Rhinolophus ferrumequinum: one gene and its partner. The protein of the gene in region 2 interacts with the protein of the main gene of each other region in a pairwise test. Links are inferred from orthologs where the notes say so. Each region holds a gene or a part of one and is shown on either strand. Other genes may lie near its edges.

Region 1 (8,056 bases), on a different chromosome or scaffold from region 2:
TTTGGTCTTTCCCACAGCCCTCTTCAGAGGCTTGGTTGGCTCCATTTTATGGCATGGCATACTGAGGGTCAGAGAGAGGTGATTTCCCCCAACATTCGAAAGGGGAATAATTGCCAGAGCCATAATTTGAACTCAGAACTGTTTGACTCCACGTGTAGAGCTAGCGGGTGTGAATTCCAGTTTTCTCTCTCCTGAGCAGATTCAAGCTTTTATTCTCAGCTATATTTGGAGAAGAAAATCTCATTACTTGGAAAATGGAATTCAGGCACCAGCAAATAGATGGAGGTGAGAGTGAAGAGAATCTTCACCCTGGCCCTAAAATTACAGAACGTGGAAGTTCAAACCTATGCAGTGCCCAGACTGGCCCTGTGACGCTGCCTTTAATTTACTCAAGTTCTGGTGGACGTGGCCTTAGACCAACCTTAGCTCTGGAGGAAAAACAAGGTTTGTCACCTTTTTGTCTTTAATCTTAAACTTACATATCCCCACCAAAGATGTGTGTTCCATTTTCTAGGAGCAAAGATCTCCACCACGAAGCACCAACTCACCCCAAAGACTTGTACTTAGATGAAATGATATTAGAAATGGCATCGTTCACTGTTTTTTCAACTTCCTGGAACTTCTGCTTGGCCAGTTGCCAAAGCTTGGATTCCTGAAGCTCGGACAACTCGACCTTTAGTTTCCCAAGGGCAGCTGAAAAAACAATTGCTATTTAGCATTAGGCACCACTTATGAAGCAGTTACTATGCGCCAGGTACTAGATAAGACTATTTGCCTATGCTATTTCATTTAATCTTCATAACAACTTGATGAGGTAGGTATTGATATTATCTACATTTTACACATGAGGAAATAAAGAATGAGAAGTTTAAGAAATGTGCCTGAAGTCACACAGCTATGGAACCCCTGTTCCTTCCATGCTGCCTTCATATTGACATATACTCATTATTCATCAACAAAGTAATGAATCAATTGACCAGGAAATTGATAATGATTGTACACCAGATTCTAGTAGTGACTTGAGGAACTATTGCTTTAAATGAGATGTCCACTCTAGTTTGAAAAACTAAGTCAAATGAAATGGGAGAGTAAACTAAAATACAGAAAATCTAGAATCAAGGAAAAAATATGGCTCTAACTCATAAAAGTGGGAGTCCCAGGATAAATGCTTTGCAACAGGCCCAGAGAGCAATAATTCATACAGGAGCGGGAGGACATAGTGTCTTAATGGGAGGTCTCCAGAGAAAAGAGGGAGTAGATAGAATAAATGACATGGCAGATGTAAAATGGTGCATATGAAAAGAGTTAATGATATGTGTGTAAAATAATTCAAGTGAGAAACAATGAGGCAATTACTAACTCGAGGAAAAACAAAAGACCATACAAGAAAAGATACGTAATCATAGTACTGCAACTTGGCTCTGCAATGGACAATATCTACCTAGTCATAACGAAACAAATAGAAAATGCCAATTTAAATAAAACTATGTCTGGTCCTATAACTCACTAGGTGACCGTGACCCAGACACTTCTGTTTCTGAGCTCAGTTTTCTCAGCAGTGAAAATGAGAGAGTGGGTCCCTTCTGTATCTTTGAAGGTTGACTGAGCCCTGACAAGATTTGAAAGACAGTCACTTACAGAAGTTACTATAAAGGATGCTTGTCAATGTGCTGTTAGTATTTCCAGAAAATGAAAAGAAAACAAAGTTATTTTAAGAAATCAGAATAAAAAGGAGATACAATTAAATATAAAAGTAGGTATACAGTTACCTAGTCTAGGTAGAGTTAATTTCCCATTAGTTAAAACAAATCAATAAAAAAAAAATATTAAACAACCGGACAGGATAATATGCTAAGAATATGAACAAAATGTTTGTTAAAATATGTGAAAAGCTAAAAAATATTTTTTAAATGAGTGGATTCTTCCATAGAGAAATGTAAAGTGAAATGAATTACGATCTTTCATCTATGAGACTGGCAAAACCCTTAAAATGTCCATACCAGTGTCAAGGGAGTAGGAAGAAAAGTACTGTCATAGATTGTTGAAGAAAATGATAATTTAAGGGATCCTTTGTCAGCATCTACTATAATTTAAAATGTGCGTGCCTTTCCAACTTTTGAAATCTCACTTTTAGGAATTTATCCTATGCATATATTGGAAAAAGTTTACCATGATATAATATGTAAGAGGATATTTATTTAAACATTGTTTATAGAAAAATAATAAGTAAATCAGCCAGGAACTGAATAACTAACCACCTTTCCCAGGAAATCACCCATACAGGGCAGCCCCTGGTAATGCAGGCATAGTATCTAGAAGGCCGGCTTCTGGGTGACACCTATCATCACCCTTGTTGACTCACCGTCCAGTGTTTTGTCAATGGTCTCAAGTCCTTTATCGAGAGAAGGTCTCACATGGCTCACAATATCATCCAGTTTGTTGCCAAGATCCTCTAGAACAGACCCCGAGGTCCCCGTGAGCAGGCCGCACAAAAGAACAAATTTCCAAAGCTGAAACATCTTGTCCTGACACCTGGACATTCATGGGAGAAACAGGAGTGAAAATTACCCGGAGGGAAAAGGAATCTTCAATGAGCACTTACCACTCTTACACTTAACATTCCTTTAAGACAGATGTCATTGTCTCCTGTTTTACAGATGGGCAGGCCAGGTAAGAAAGCTAGAGAAACTTGCCCAGAGACACACAGCCAGTGAGTGGAGGAGCTGCGATTGGAAAAGTCCCACTTGACTACAAGCCCATGCTCTTTACACAAAGGTCCTTTCCACATGCTGGCTTCTTTGCCTGAAACATCTGTCTTTTTCTTTGCATTTTTTACCTAAATTACTTCTTATTGACTCTCTGGCTTTAGTAAGACATCACACACTCTATGAAGCCCATTCTAGACCCCTCCTCAGAGCTTAGGGTAGGGGGCTCCATCCCACCACTTTTCTGCTTTTGTTCTCGGATCAGAGTCCTGCATACCAATTACCTGATGACCTGTCTACCTTTTCCATTAGGCTGTGAACTCCTTAGAGGAGGAACTATGAGTTATTTCACTGTTGAATCCCCAGCCCCTCGTAAAAAGCCTGCACCTAATACAGTACAACAAATCACTATTTGCTGAATAAAAGTATGAACAAATAAACGAGTACCATATCATGACCCTGCATTGCCCATTAGTTTGACACTTCTCTGAATATAATCTGTATCTATCTCTTAATTTTCTATATTCAAAATATTAGCAATCCAAGCAGCCCTATCCCTCTGCCTCTTGCCCTCAAAGCCTTCAGAAGACCACGTTGTAAGGTACCATCAGGGGGAAGCCCATCACTCACAGGTTTGGAGGAGGATGCTCACGAACACTTGTTCTTCTGCACGGTCTCCTGGGATTCTTCTAGGTGGTGGTGGCCCTTATATTGGTGGCTACAGGATGGGAGATTGCCCATGGAAGCAAGCCCTGGTTCTGGGGCCATCCAAGGAGAGGCCAAAGAAAATAACCCCTGTTCAGGGTGAGCAGAGAGACTTCCATCCAAAGGTCACCTAGGATGCTTGAATTGAATGGATGGATATGGGGAGGACTTTCTGCCAAGACTAAGACCGGATTCTCATGGAGCCTCCATCTGCCAAATTGGTGGCCATTGCGGGTGAGGGTTGGGGTGAAGACTAAGAGTGGACAAATTAGAGAATTGTTAGTGAGAACCTATTGTGATCATCCATCTTAATTCTATCACCATTTGGAAACTGAGGCTCAGAGAGGGGAAGCAACCAGCTTGAGGTCACCCAGCAAGACATGGACAGAGATCGGACCAGAACTGTGACCCACAGAGAGTCACGGTCAGCAAGCAGAAAGGTCATTCTGCCCCATCCTTCTCGGTGTCTGTGTGCTTTCTATAGCATCTCTCACAGTGGAGCCAGCCTCAATTTGAATGTTTGCAATGATGGGGAGCTCACTACTCCTTAAGCCTGCCTATTCCATCGAGTTGGTAGAGTTCCTCCTGAGAGTGAACAAAATCTGCCTCCACTTTACCTCCATATGTGGGCAGCAATGAGGCCCAGAAAGGTTAAGCACCCTGCCTGAGGCTGCACAGCCAGTGTCAGGAGACACACACCACAGCCTTATCCCTGGTGTCCGTCTGCACACTTGCCCTATCCACTCTGCTCAACACAGCAGCTAGAGGTGTGTCATTCAGCTTAAACCCGAAGTCCTACCATGCCCTGTAGGAGCCTGTATCATCTGCTCACTGCCTCTCCAAACTCATCTCCAACTTCTTCCTCCGGGCCCCTACCTGTCTTTCTTCTATTCCAGAAGATTCTGACCTCTTTCCTGCTTTGGGCCTTTGCATAAGCCGTTCTCTCTGCCCAGGACTTTCCTCCCCAACTGTCCCTAACTCTTGTTGTCACCTCTTCAGAACCTCCCTGACTGCTGACCTGAGGTGGCCCCTCCCTGTTATCCCTGATTTCAGCTCCTCGATGGCTTCTTTCATAGCAAGTCAACACAATTTGATTTTTTTAAAACTTTTTAAAAATTGATTTTAAGTGTGTTTTTCCAGGACCCATGAGCTCCAAGTCAAGTAGTTGTTTCAATCTAGTTGTGGAGGGCGCAGCTCACAGTGGCCCATTGGGGATCGAAACGGCAACATTTTTGTTAAGAGCACTGCACTCTAACCAACTGAGCTAACCAGTCACCCCCACAATTTGATTTTTTAAAAACTTGTTCTCCGCCCTCAGCAAATTGTTACCACTCTGTGCTCTGAGGCTTTCCTCATATGTAGGCTTCAAAGACTCTGATCTGTCTCTAGAATGTTCCAAACCTCTCTCTAAGGCATCCTATAAAACCAGTCACTACTTGGGAAGGTGGTGAGGTCCCCATCACCAGATATGCTCAGAAATTGAAATAGATAACTGCTAAGCTCCTGTGGGACTTGACGTGACTATGAGCTATGATTCTAAATTGTCTTGGTCTATTGTTCAAAGACCACTGTGGCACATTTTTATGATTCTTCTTCTCAGGTTTTCTTTCTACCTGAGTCCAGATGGATATCTTTCCCTTAGGCTTCCTATATCTTTCCTTTTCTCACCCTCCCAACCTCCCAAGACCCCAATTTCGACATGCTGTGGCCCCCTGGAGCCCCAGAGTGCTGGGTGCTGTCTCTCAGCACGGACCACGCCCCGAACAAAGCCAGCATCTCCCACTGGCACTGGCTGCCTGCCTCACACAGCCAAGCTTGAGGTAACACTAATTAGAAGTTCTCATTACCTGGCCATGGGTCTGGGAAAGAGGAACCTATCCTCTCACACGCAGCTCAAAAGTCCTGCTATCTAAGTCGCCATTCTCAGTGTCACCCACCTCTCTGCAGCTTCACTGTCCCCAGCTCACATGAAGACAGGACTTTTCCACACCCTCAGGGGCCCCCGTCTGCTAAAGCATTTGGGTGACCCCCAAGTCTGGTCTACACTAGGCAAAGCTCCCAAAGTGGGGAGAAACCTTGCCCCCTTCTTCCTGAGGTCCTCTGGATCCCACTCCTCATAGTGTGTGTGGAATTCTTGAACAAGCACATACATACTGACACATATGTATATGTGCATGTCCACACACATGTGTGCCCATGCATGCAGGTGACCAAGGCAGTAAAGCTAGACTCATAGACAACATCTCCCTGCCAACAACGAGGAGAACTTTTTACAGAATCATGGAGACACGTTACCACTGTTCTGAATGGAAGGGCTCCCTACCCACAAAGGCGGATTTGGGGCTTCCCAGATTGCCTGGGTCTGTTTTTCCCCTTAAATACTTTAGATACAATTATCTGGCAAAGCCCATTGGAGAATGAAGCAAATACTAAAGAAATGAGAAAATATATCATTCAAGTGCCTGGATATAGCTTTGCCCAAAGTCATGTAACCCCAGACTTTTCACTTCTAATACATTTCTCCCTCCCTCTTTTTTCATTGTTGCTTAAGCCCCTGTGGATTGGATTCCTGTCACCGAAACCCACAGCAGTCCTGACGCACCCATTTGTAGACTCACATCAGTCACCTCCCTTCTGACGGCTGCTCGAAGTTCGTACACGACACTGGAAACATCGCAGACACCAAAGCCAGAGGAGAGCTTAGAGTTTATTAATTTAACCTCCTTGCTGGGAGGTTTGGGGAACCTATAGCTCAGAGAAGGAGAAAGGCTCATCTAAGGCCACACAGTGACCTTCAACCCCTCTTGTTTTTCTCTTTTATTGCATAACTTTTAGTTTTGTTGGAATTTTCTACCCTGGACTTAAAAAAAAAAAAAAAAGATTGAACAGAATTACCTAGGAAACTTGTTTAAAATACAGATGCTTGCACTCCAACCCTAAATAATTTGGGTCAGAGGCTCTGGGAGCCCAAAAGTGGCCTGTGTCCCCTGGGGGTTGCCCCCTGGGGGTTGTTGACCAGAAATGGGAATGACTGGACTAGATGACTCAAAGGTGCCTTCTGCCCAGAGTTCTATGAGCTGTGACCCCCATCCCAACATCTGGAGCCCCAGCTCAGCCTAGACATGATCCTCATAACCCTGCAGCCCATGTGCACAGCACTTTACAGTGTAGCCTGACTGACCCATAAGAGCACACTATTAATAATAACAACTGCCATTTATTTGGTACCTGCTGTGTACCAGGTGTTTTTCCTACTTCACCTGGTTTCATCCCCTCATAACCTTGCAGGGGATGTTACTGTCCCTGTATTTTGGATGAGGAGCTTGAGGCTCAGAAGGGAAGGACAACTTGCTCAAGGTCATGCAGAAAGGAAAGAGCAGAGCTGGGAAGGAAAAAAATAAAAATCTTCAGCCTGGCAGATTGAGAACTGCTATTCCAGCTCATGGCCTTCTGGGGGCAGCAGCGAGTCACATTCTTCTGCCCCCAGTGCCCGGAACCCAGAAGGTGCCTGGTAGGGCCTGGTGCTTTAGGTACTTTCGCCATCAGTCTTCACGACAGACAACCTGTGAGGAGGTTTTGAGCCCCATTTTCCACTTGAGGAAACTGAGATTCAGAAAGGAGAGGTGGTTTGCCCAGGCCTCACAAGGACAGAAACTGGACATTTGATTCCATGGCCCTTCCCCCCATGTCACACTGAGGCCAGCTGGCAAGACAGGAAAGTCCTTGGGCTTCAATATCCTGTTTATCTCCCGGCCTCTGCTGTTTGAGTTGGTTGTAACGCCTGGTGCATTGGGCCCAAGTCAACCTGAAACAGGCCACAGGAAACTCAGGTAGGTGCCCACTTGGCATTCAGGCACACTGGCAGAGAGCTCAGGAACATCCTGTGCCTGTCTCCTCTGCTCACCCACCTGAGACTCAGCAAGGACCAGGTGGGCCTGTCCTTCATACAAACGTGGGCAGGGCAAAGGGTGTGGTAGGACTGGTGGCTCGGGAACTAGCTTTCCTCACACTGACCATGTTTCCACTATTAGAGCACAGAGCAGGAAGAAGGCAAAAGCGTGGCTCCCCAAGTCAGGGCTAGGACCTGGAGAACCCAGTTCAGTAGTCTTACTTGGTGGTATTGGACCAGTCATCAAGACTCTTCCCTGGCTACATGGCACCCAGTTCCACAGTGTCTGAGGCCCTTCTTCCTCCAGGTGTCAGGCGCAGAGCTGAGGGCTATGCTGAAATCTTGTGAAGAGAGTTTTTCCCACCCCAGGAACACAGCCCAGGGGCTGAGTGTTATGTGGTGATTTTAGACCTGGTGTTGGCCCCAGGCCTCAGTTGCCCCATCTGTAAAATGGAGTCAACACCCCTGTGCCTGGATTCCAGTGGCAAAATGGAAACCAAAAGGGTGCCCAAAGGGATCTGAGGGGGGTGGTCAGAGCCTGGCTCTCGGGTTGGGTTCGAATCCTTCGTTCTCGCTGTTGTTGGCTGTATGACTGGATGAGGGGTGTCATCTCGCTGAACCTCAGGTTCCTTATCTGTGAAATGGGAAGAGCAACAGGACTTACTTCCCAGGAGTGTTGTGAAGATGAGGTGTGATAATGCTTGTGGAAAGGCTAGCACGTGGTAAGCCCTCAATACACGTTAACAACAATGATGAT
Region 2 (8,020 bases):
AGAGGCGGGAGGCAGTCAGCACACATTTAATGAAGACCTGCATGTGTGCGCATACACGTGTGTGTGCACATATGACATAAAGAGGATTGCTGCAGAAGGATAAGGGGAAGGAAAAAATGCCATAGGACAGAGTTAGAGAGCTGCTGTCTTGGGCAACAGCCTCTTAAATCCGCTCTTTCTGGCTGGTGTCTAACACAAGCAGTTTCCTAGAATCCAACAGGGCCCAGGCAGTCTCCTTTTCTGCTTTTCCCACACTCACCAAGGGGTCCACAGGGTGTTCTGATGGGTTCTCTGATGCCTGATTTGAGTGCAAGGGTCTCTGGAGGGACAGGGGAGGATCACTAAGTGTTTGGTGAGGGCTTGCCAGGATGGGGCAATAATTTGCATAGGACCCTGATGAGATGGCAAAACAAAAAGGAACATCAGGGATCACTGGCTGCAGTCTATGGCTCAGGGAGAAGGAGTCAAGACGCTTGGTTGGGCCTTTAAAAATCAGCGATGGAGGCTGCTGTAAGTTTGAATTCTATGCCATTGGGACAAACAGTTCCAAATCAGCACCGCCCCCCCCCTTTGTTTTGGCTAGTCACAAAGACAGGTGTCCCCTCTGGAGAAAGGGGGCTCCCACACCTCCCAGCGATGTCCAGGTGCCTCCAGAAAACCCAGGAACTGGGCAGTAGCAGCCCGTCCACCCTGAACGATAGTATGGGCACGGTGACTTTACCAACAAGTCATACTGGCCTCGATACCTTCAGAATCTTGGCATCAACCAGAGCCTGTGCTGAAGAACAGAGGATGAAGTCTGGGAGCCCCGGAGAGCCACCCCGACTCCAGTCCACAGGGTTCTATTCTGTTCTTTCACTTCTGCCCATTTCTGCTGTCTCTGCTCCCAGCAGCTGGCATCAGAGGGAGAAGATCCCGTCCACAGATACAAAGAACAGCACCGACCAACAAAACACCAGGCCTTCCACAACCCTGCCAGAACTTAGGCCAGAAACACAGCCGGTGTGTTTGTGACAAGCTGAGCAGAAATGCTGGAGGATAGGACACCAGATCAAATCTCAGTGACATTCCCTGTGCCACCAAGGGCCACACCCTATCTTCCAGAACCTTCTCTGATGTGCTTTTGTGGACGGCCCTGCATTCTCATAGGCACACGTGCCTTTCAGACAGTGTTTTGGTTCTTTTCTCTGTCGGTTCCAGTTTGATTTACACAGTTGGGAAAGGAAGGGGCCGGGCCACCTAAGAATTGTTGGGTGTCCAGGACTCTGAAGACCAAAGGACAATTGGAAACCATTTCAAAGCCTTTCATATGGGAAGCCTCCTTTGTGCTTCACACAGCCCCGGGGTTGACTATTACTGTCCCCATTTTCTAGATATGCAGAAAAAATTTCACAGACTAAGTGGTGACTAACCCAAAGTCACACAGATGTCAAGGTCAGTGCTGGGGGTCGAGGTTGCTCAAATGCTAAGGCCTGGCTCCCAGGCTTTGCACATAGGAAAGGGGGATGGGTGGAATCTTCTCTCCATCAAAGGGGCCTTTTCCAGCTGCTTCAATCCTGGTATTTATTGTGCGCCAGGAGATGCTGAGAGGCGCTGAAAGATGCTGCGTGTTTTTTCACAGCAGCAGGGCAGCTATTCGCTTCCTGAATGTTTACAAAGTGCCAGGAGCTGTGCCAGGGATGCTATGTAAATGATCCCACGTGATCCCCACAATCACCCTGAGGCTAAATAACTTGCCCAAGATCACTCTGCAAGGAGGAGGCAAGACAGGGATCCAAAACATACCTTTACCTAAAGGACACAGGCAATCATAGGAAAGACATGGCTGTGGCTGCTTCATCAGCCATTTCCATAACCAGTGGCACTTACCAAGTGCCGTCCTCAGCAGAGCCTGGACTATCCGTGGCATCCTGAGGACAAGCAGGGAATTGGGTGGCAGGTCTTCCAGGTGATGGGAGGAAGGGGTGCACACAAATTTGTTCAGTGGATGTACCTCGGTTCATTCCCTGAGCACCCAGCATGCCCCAGGCCAGTGTTGAGGTTCCAAGACCCTCCTAGGATTTGCAGTCTAGGTGGGGGTGGGGCAGACAATAAACAAGTAAACAAGTAAATTGATAGGTCAATACCTTCACATATTGGTAAGTGCTATGAAGAAATTACAATAGGACAGTACAACCAACTTGGAAAACAGTTTGGCAATTTCTTAAAAAGCCAAATATACACCCGTCATATATGGTCCAGCCATTCCACTCCTAGATATTTACCCAAGTAGGTGTTCAATAACTATTCTCTGAATGAATGAATGAATGAATGAATGAACGAATCTATTCTGCATGTCAGATTCTTTGTTGAAGGTACAAAGATAAAACTTGGCCGAGACAGACAGGATTGGTCAGGGACATGAAAACTTTAAACTTGGGGCGGCAGGATGGCTCAGTTGGTTAGAGTGCGAGCTCTCAACAACAAGGTTGCCGGTTCAATTCCTCACATGGGATGGTGGGCTGCGCCCCCTGCAACTAAAGATTGAAAACGGCGACTGGACTTGGAGCTGAGCTGCACCCTCCACAACTAGACTGAAGAACAACGACTTGGAGCTGATGGGCCCTGAAGAAACATACTGTTCTCCAACATTCCCCAATAAAATTTATAAGAGAAAAATTTAAACTTGACTTACAAAAGTATGACCCCAAAGCCTTGTGGAATATGCTTTGTGGGGGTCCATTTGACCTTCCATAGTTACAACTGGGTCACGGCAGGAACTCTGACTCCTTTAAGAATAGTTTTACTTTCTTGTGTTCCCTCCCCACCCCAGCCAACTGGGTCTGTCCCCACTTCCCCAGCTGGTCAGGATGAATACAGCTCTCAACCACAAGGTTGCCGGTTCGACTCCTCGACTCCCACAAGGGATGGTGGGCTGTGCCCCCTGCAACTAACAACGGCAACTGGACCTGGAGCTGAGCTGCGCCCTCCACAACTAAGACTGAAAGGACAACAACTTGACTTGGAAAAAGACCTGGAAGTCCATGCTGTTCCCCAATAAAGTCCTGTTCCCCTTCCCCAATAAAATCTTTTTTAAAAAAATACCCACCACTTATTGAGGAATTACTCTTTTCTATGTACTCTACTGACAACAATAATTAACACTAATACACTAATAATTATTAATAAAAGTACAGCCAATCCTGACTAAGTGCTTACTGTCTGCCAGACACTGTCCTAAATGTTTTTCATGTATTAATAAATCCTAACAACGCTTTGGAGGAAGCCACTGTTATTATCCTCATTTTACAGATGAGAAAACTGAAGCACCGAGAGGCAAAGTGACTTACCCAAGTTCAACCAGTAAGTGGACAAAGCCAGGACTCAAACTCTGTTGCTCTGTTCTAGCGCAGTTCCCCTGTGCTTTAAATCCCCAAAAATCAAGCTAAATGAGCTGTACCCATTGGGCTGGTCTCTAAAGATCACCAGCTCTCAGTTACAATGGCAGATGCTATGCTGCTCTACCCCTGGGCTGGAGGGCTTTGTCTCTGAATGGGGCATTAAATTAGGTCAGTGGGTACTGCAGGTCCTGCAGTCTTTCCTTTGTGTTGGAGAGAGTATATGTCTTGATATGATCTCAGGACCCACCCAGGCAGTTTCGCAGGTTCCCACATGGTCTCTCCTGTCCTGGAGACACGAACAAGTTGTCAGACAGACCGTAGGGGACCCTCTAAATAAAGTTTTCTCTGGTCATGGGTGAAGGATGGGGTACAGGGGAGGATGGCGGTAGTGGGGATTTACATTCCTGTTGGGAGGTGGTCAACAGCCTTTGAGACGGCAGGTGAGACAGCTCTCTCTTTCCTCAATTTCTTCCATTCTTGGTTAAGAGGCAAACAGGTGTCTTGACAGACTCTTTCTTCACTGGTCTGCTTTTTTCTGGAAACAGGTGTGTCCTACAGGTTTTCTGCTGGTCTTCCAGATGGATTTTTCTACAGCTTTTAGTTTGTTCATTCAAGTGGCCCCTTGTGTGTTGATAACAACAATATTTTCTATGTACTGCTCATCGAGTAAGTGCCAGGCACTTTTCTAGGCACTTTCCTTTGACAAAAACTCTATCCTTGACCAAACTTTAGTTAGGCTCATGAGGCTTCTCCTCAAACTCGGCCTCAGCCTGGCCTCGGTGTGCAACCTGTTCTTGCTGGGCCTGCATAGCCCAGTTTTAGCAAGAATCCCCCTGCCCTGGATAACTGAACACCCTCCACATCTGATCAAGTTCCTCACCTGCCCTCCCTCACCTTTTGATGTCTACGTCCTTGGCCTGCCTTTAGCAAGAATCTTGTTAGGTTGGTTTAGCAAGAATCCCCCCAGCCTTTAGTGTCTCCTCTTAGTAATTTTCCATCTACTGAGCCCTCACTCTGCTGCTTCGCTATAAAACCCCACTTGTCCTTGCTGTTCATAGTTAAGCTTGATTTTTCTCCCCTCCTGCAACATCCCTATTGCAATAGTGTTGGGTGAAGTCTTCCCTACCATTTTAACAAATGTCAGAATAAATTTTTCTTTAACAAAATGGATTCGTTCATTTATCCTCACAAGGGTCCTCTGAGGTAGGTACCGTCAATGTCTCTAACACTGGAAGGTCGAGAGGAGAGAGGATTTCCTGAAGGATGAGATAGCAGCTGTTGCCACATCCTCACTTTGCACCTGGACATACCCCCAAGTTCTCCTGGCTGCAGGTGGTCCCGTCAGTCCACCTGCTGGGATATTAACCAGGCAAGATATTGCTCCCTTTGCGGCAAAAGTCCTGATGTTCTCCAGCCGCCCCCGGGAACTCCCTGAGCAACGTGTGGACGGAGCTGGGAGCCAGCGGGAAGCGGGTGCTGGCCGACGCCGTCCCCTGGCAAACGGGCAGTGGTCATGTGACCCGAGTCACGTGGCCGGGAGCTGAGCTGGGGTTAGAGCCCAGGCAGCAGGGCTGGCTGGTGCTGGCAAGTTTGCTTCCCGAGTTCCAAGACCCCGCGGCTGTCGCACAGGTGCCTTCCGCCTAGGTCGGGATGGAGCTGCCAGCCGTGAACCTGAAGGTGGCGACGGGCGGGGCGGGGGTGGCCACGCCGCAGGCGGGCGGGCGCGGGGCGGGTCTCCGGGAGTGTGGGGGCCGTTTGCGCTTTTAAAGTAGGATTTTGGAGGTGAGAAGGCCGGGAGTTTGGGAAAGAAAAGGCGTAAGGAGAAAGAAAAGATACAGACCCCTGGTGAGAAGGAGGCGGGCAGACAAACCAAGGCCGGGAGAGAGATCCAGGAAAAGGCCAGGAGGGAAAACCGAGGGAAAGGGCCGCCCCCTCCGGCAGTCGGATCCCTGCCACTGGGAGCACCCGGCCCTGGAGGATTGCTGTGGCCTACGCCACCAGAATTCCCCTGGGGAAAGAGGAAGGCGCGGGGGAGGGACTAAGACCCGGAGTGGGGCTTGGAGGCGGACACCTCCCCTCCACCTAGAGGGAGAGAGGGAGGGCGGAGGAGGGAGACGGAGAGAGGTGTTAGACCTTTCACCTGGCCTCCCATAACTTCAAGGTAGCCTCCTTTGTTTGCTAAATCCGGTTAAGAAAAGTAGATGTGCCCGGACTGGTGGTTTACAAAATGTATCAACCCTGCGTCCTTATTTCCCAAGAAACACGAACTCCAGTAGAAGTTGCTTAACGCCAGAAAACCACAACTTGGTGCACTTAGTAAAACACTGCAGGGCTTCCTGGGATGTCTTCATTTCCTGAGCGGCTCTCCTGAGCTCCTCAGGATGCCACTGGCGGAGGTTCATTTTCTCCCGCCACACCCCAGCCCGCTGTGCTTCTTGGCTGGGTTTGCGACAGAGGGGCTGTGGCCTTTTTAGCTTTGGTCAGGAGGGGGTGAACCTTCCGCCAAACCTGCCATTTTGGGTCTCGGTGCAGTCTCCTTTGAGACTGGATCCAGGAATGCCCTTTTACTCACTGGTGACAAAGCATTTAGCAGCCATGGTGTCCGGTACTAAAGGAACCCAAAAGATAGATGACTACAAAACAGCACATCATTCATATTTGGGTTATGAGACCTGCTCTGTGCTATGACTTCATACAGGCAGACTTCCAGTAATCACGCTCGCTGGGACCAACCTCCCTGAAGCTTCTAGTCAACAGCTGCGTGGAGAGATGTCTGGAGCAAGAGAATGGGCTTGGGTTGAAGGTTTATCTGGGAAGAAATTGCCATGAGGGAAACATCCATACTCACTCTGTTCCAGGCAGTGTGGGGTTAATGCCAACTGCCTTTTCTCTAGCGATTTGCCTAAAACAATGCTAAGAGAAAATCAGGTGAAGGACAAAGCTGCAGGAGTTGAGAAGGAAGAAAACTCTCATTCCTGGGGCATCTGTGGTGTGCCAGGTTATTTGTTTAATCACAACAGCCTTCCGGGAAAGCTGATATTGTCATCTTTTACGGATGAGCAAACCTTGGCTCAGATCAGATAAATAATTTGCCAAAGTCCCACAGGGATTAAGTGGCAGAGTCAGGATTTGAACCCACCAGGGTCAGACTTCAAAGCCAGCCTGAGACCTTGCCTGGTCACCAGTTAGGGCTGACTTCTGCCTTGATAGTTTATGTCCATCAGGGGGACTTAAGTCTGTTTGGGGCTTTTTTGCAGCAACTTATTGGCCTGACAGACCAAGCACTACCATGGGTGTGAGCTGTGCTGGCTTTCGGTGCCCAGAATGAAACTCTGGTCCTTCCCTTGATTTGGGAAAAAAGACCCTCTGTCTCTATATAGGTCTTCCGCTGTTACTAGTCAGAGACAAGTAAGTGTCAGGAGGCCCTGAGGGACCAGGGTTGCCAGGTAACATATAGGATATCCAGTTGAATTTGAATTTCAGATCAGCAATGAATAATTTTTTATCATACGTATATTCCAGGCAATATTTGGGACATACTAACAAATTATGCATTATCTGAAATTTGAAATGAAGTGTGCCGTATTGTTAAATCTGGCCTTCCTATGGAGGGTAGCTGTTGACCCCGGGTTCACAGGCACTTTCGTGGGTTGTTCCGAGATCAGGGCCCCGAGGGGGCTGGGGAAATGCAGCCCGTGGGCCTGCCCTCCCTCCCCACTCCCTTATTTCATACATTCTTTGGGAATTGGCCGAATGCCAGCTTGTGCCCAGCCAGAGTGGGCAGTGGTACCCGGTTAAAAGAAATAGCTGCTCTAGGCCCTTTGCACAAAAGGTAGTCCCTAGCTGAGCCCCATCCCTGAGGCAAGTCTTGAGCCAGAGGGATGACACTGTGACAAGCTTAGAAAGGACTAGACTTGGGTTCATGACGTCTTGTGGAAAGAGGCCCTTGTGGGAAGAGGGTGGGGGTGGGGCGGGTAGTGGAGCATTTGGGTTGAGAACTCAGGAAGCTGACTTCCTATGGTAAGGAGGACAGCTTCGTATCAAGGGCTGCTTACCTGGCAGGCACTGTGTTGAGTATTCACATACCTCTCCACTTCCCTGTACCACTAGATCCGCACAACCCTACGAAACAGGCATATTGTCCCTACTTTACGGAAGAGCAAGCTGCAGTTCTGAGAAGTCAAGTAACTTGCACAAGGTCACACAGCTTCTGCAGCATGGAGCCAGGATCAGCTATCTGGCTGCAGCGCTCATGCAGTTAACCACTGCCTGACTCCGCCTCCCCTCTAGGGCAGCCCTGATTTGTGTCCCTCAGCCCTAGCCACCCTCTGGGATCTCACCACCTCAGATAACAAGTCATGGAGTGTTTGCACGGGACTGGTAGGACTATATTTCATATGTCGACCTGTGTGTTGATCTGAGAGGTCAGCGCACCACCTGTGGGGAAATCCCCCCCCACCCCCACTCTCGCATCCCTCATGGGCTTCTGGTGGCAAAGTAGTCTAAGTCCACAGGACCCCTTGGTTTCCCCTTAGCCTTCCCTTCTCCAGGTTAAACGCCATTTCCATCCGCTTTTCCAAACCCTGACAGTATAACATGGATAGAGCACAGGCCTTGGGGCCAGACATTCAAGGCTGGGC

Evidence for each region.
Region 1: the proteins of AGTRAP (region 2) and BPIFA2 interact in binary tests that used the Homo sapiens proteins (3 or more experiments, as listed by UniProt). The two-hybrid records come from large-scale screens. The link is inferred for Rhinolophus ferrumequinum from reciprocal best matches to the Homo sapiens genes AGTRAP and BPIFA2.

The regions. Positions count from the first base shown.
Region 1 is NC_046306.1:21,718,123-21,726,178, forward strand, and holds the start of BPIFA2 (BPI fold-containing family A member 2), read right to left. Parts: upstream 3,459-8,056; 5' UTR 3,336-3,458; intron 2,533-3,335; 5' UTR 2,520-2,532; coding exon 2,363-2,519; intron 694-2,362; coding exon 549-693; intron 1-548. UniProt on the Homo sapiens protein: Has strong antibacterial activity against P.aeruginosa.
Region 2 is NC_046292.1:7,934,298-7,942,317, forward strand, and holds the start of AGTRAP (type-1 angiotensin II receptor-associated protein), read left to right. Parts: upstream 1-4,901; 5' UTR 4,902-5,030; coding exon 5,031-5,057; intron 5,058-8,020. UniProt on the Homo sapiens protein: Appears to be a negative regulator of type-1 angiotensin II receptor-mediated signaling by regulating receptor internalization as well as mechanism of receptor desensitization such as phosphorylation.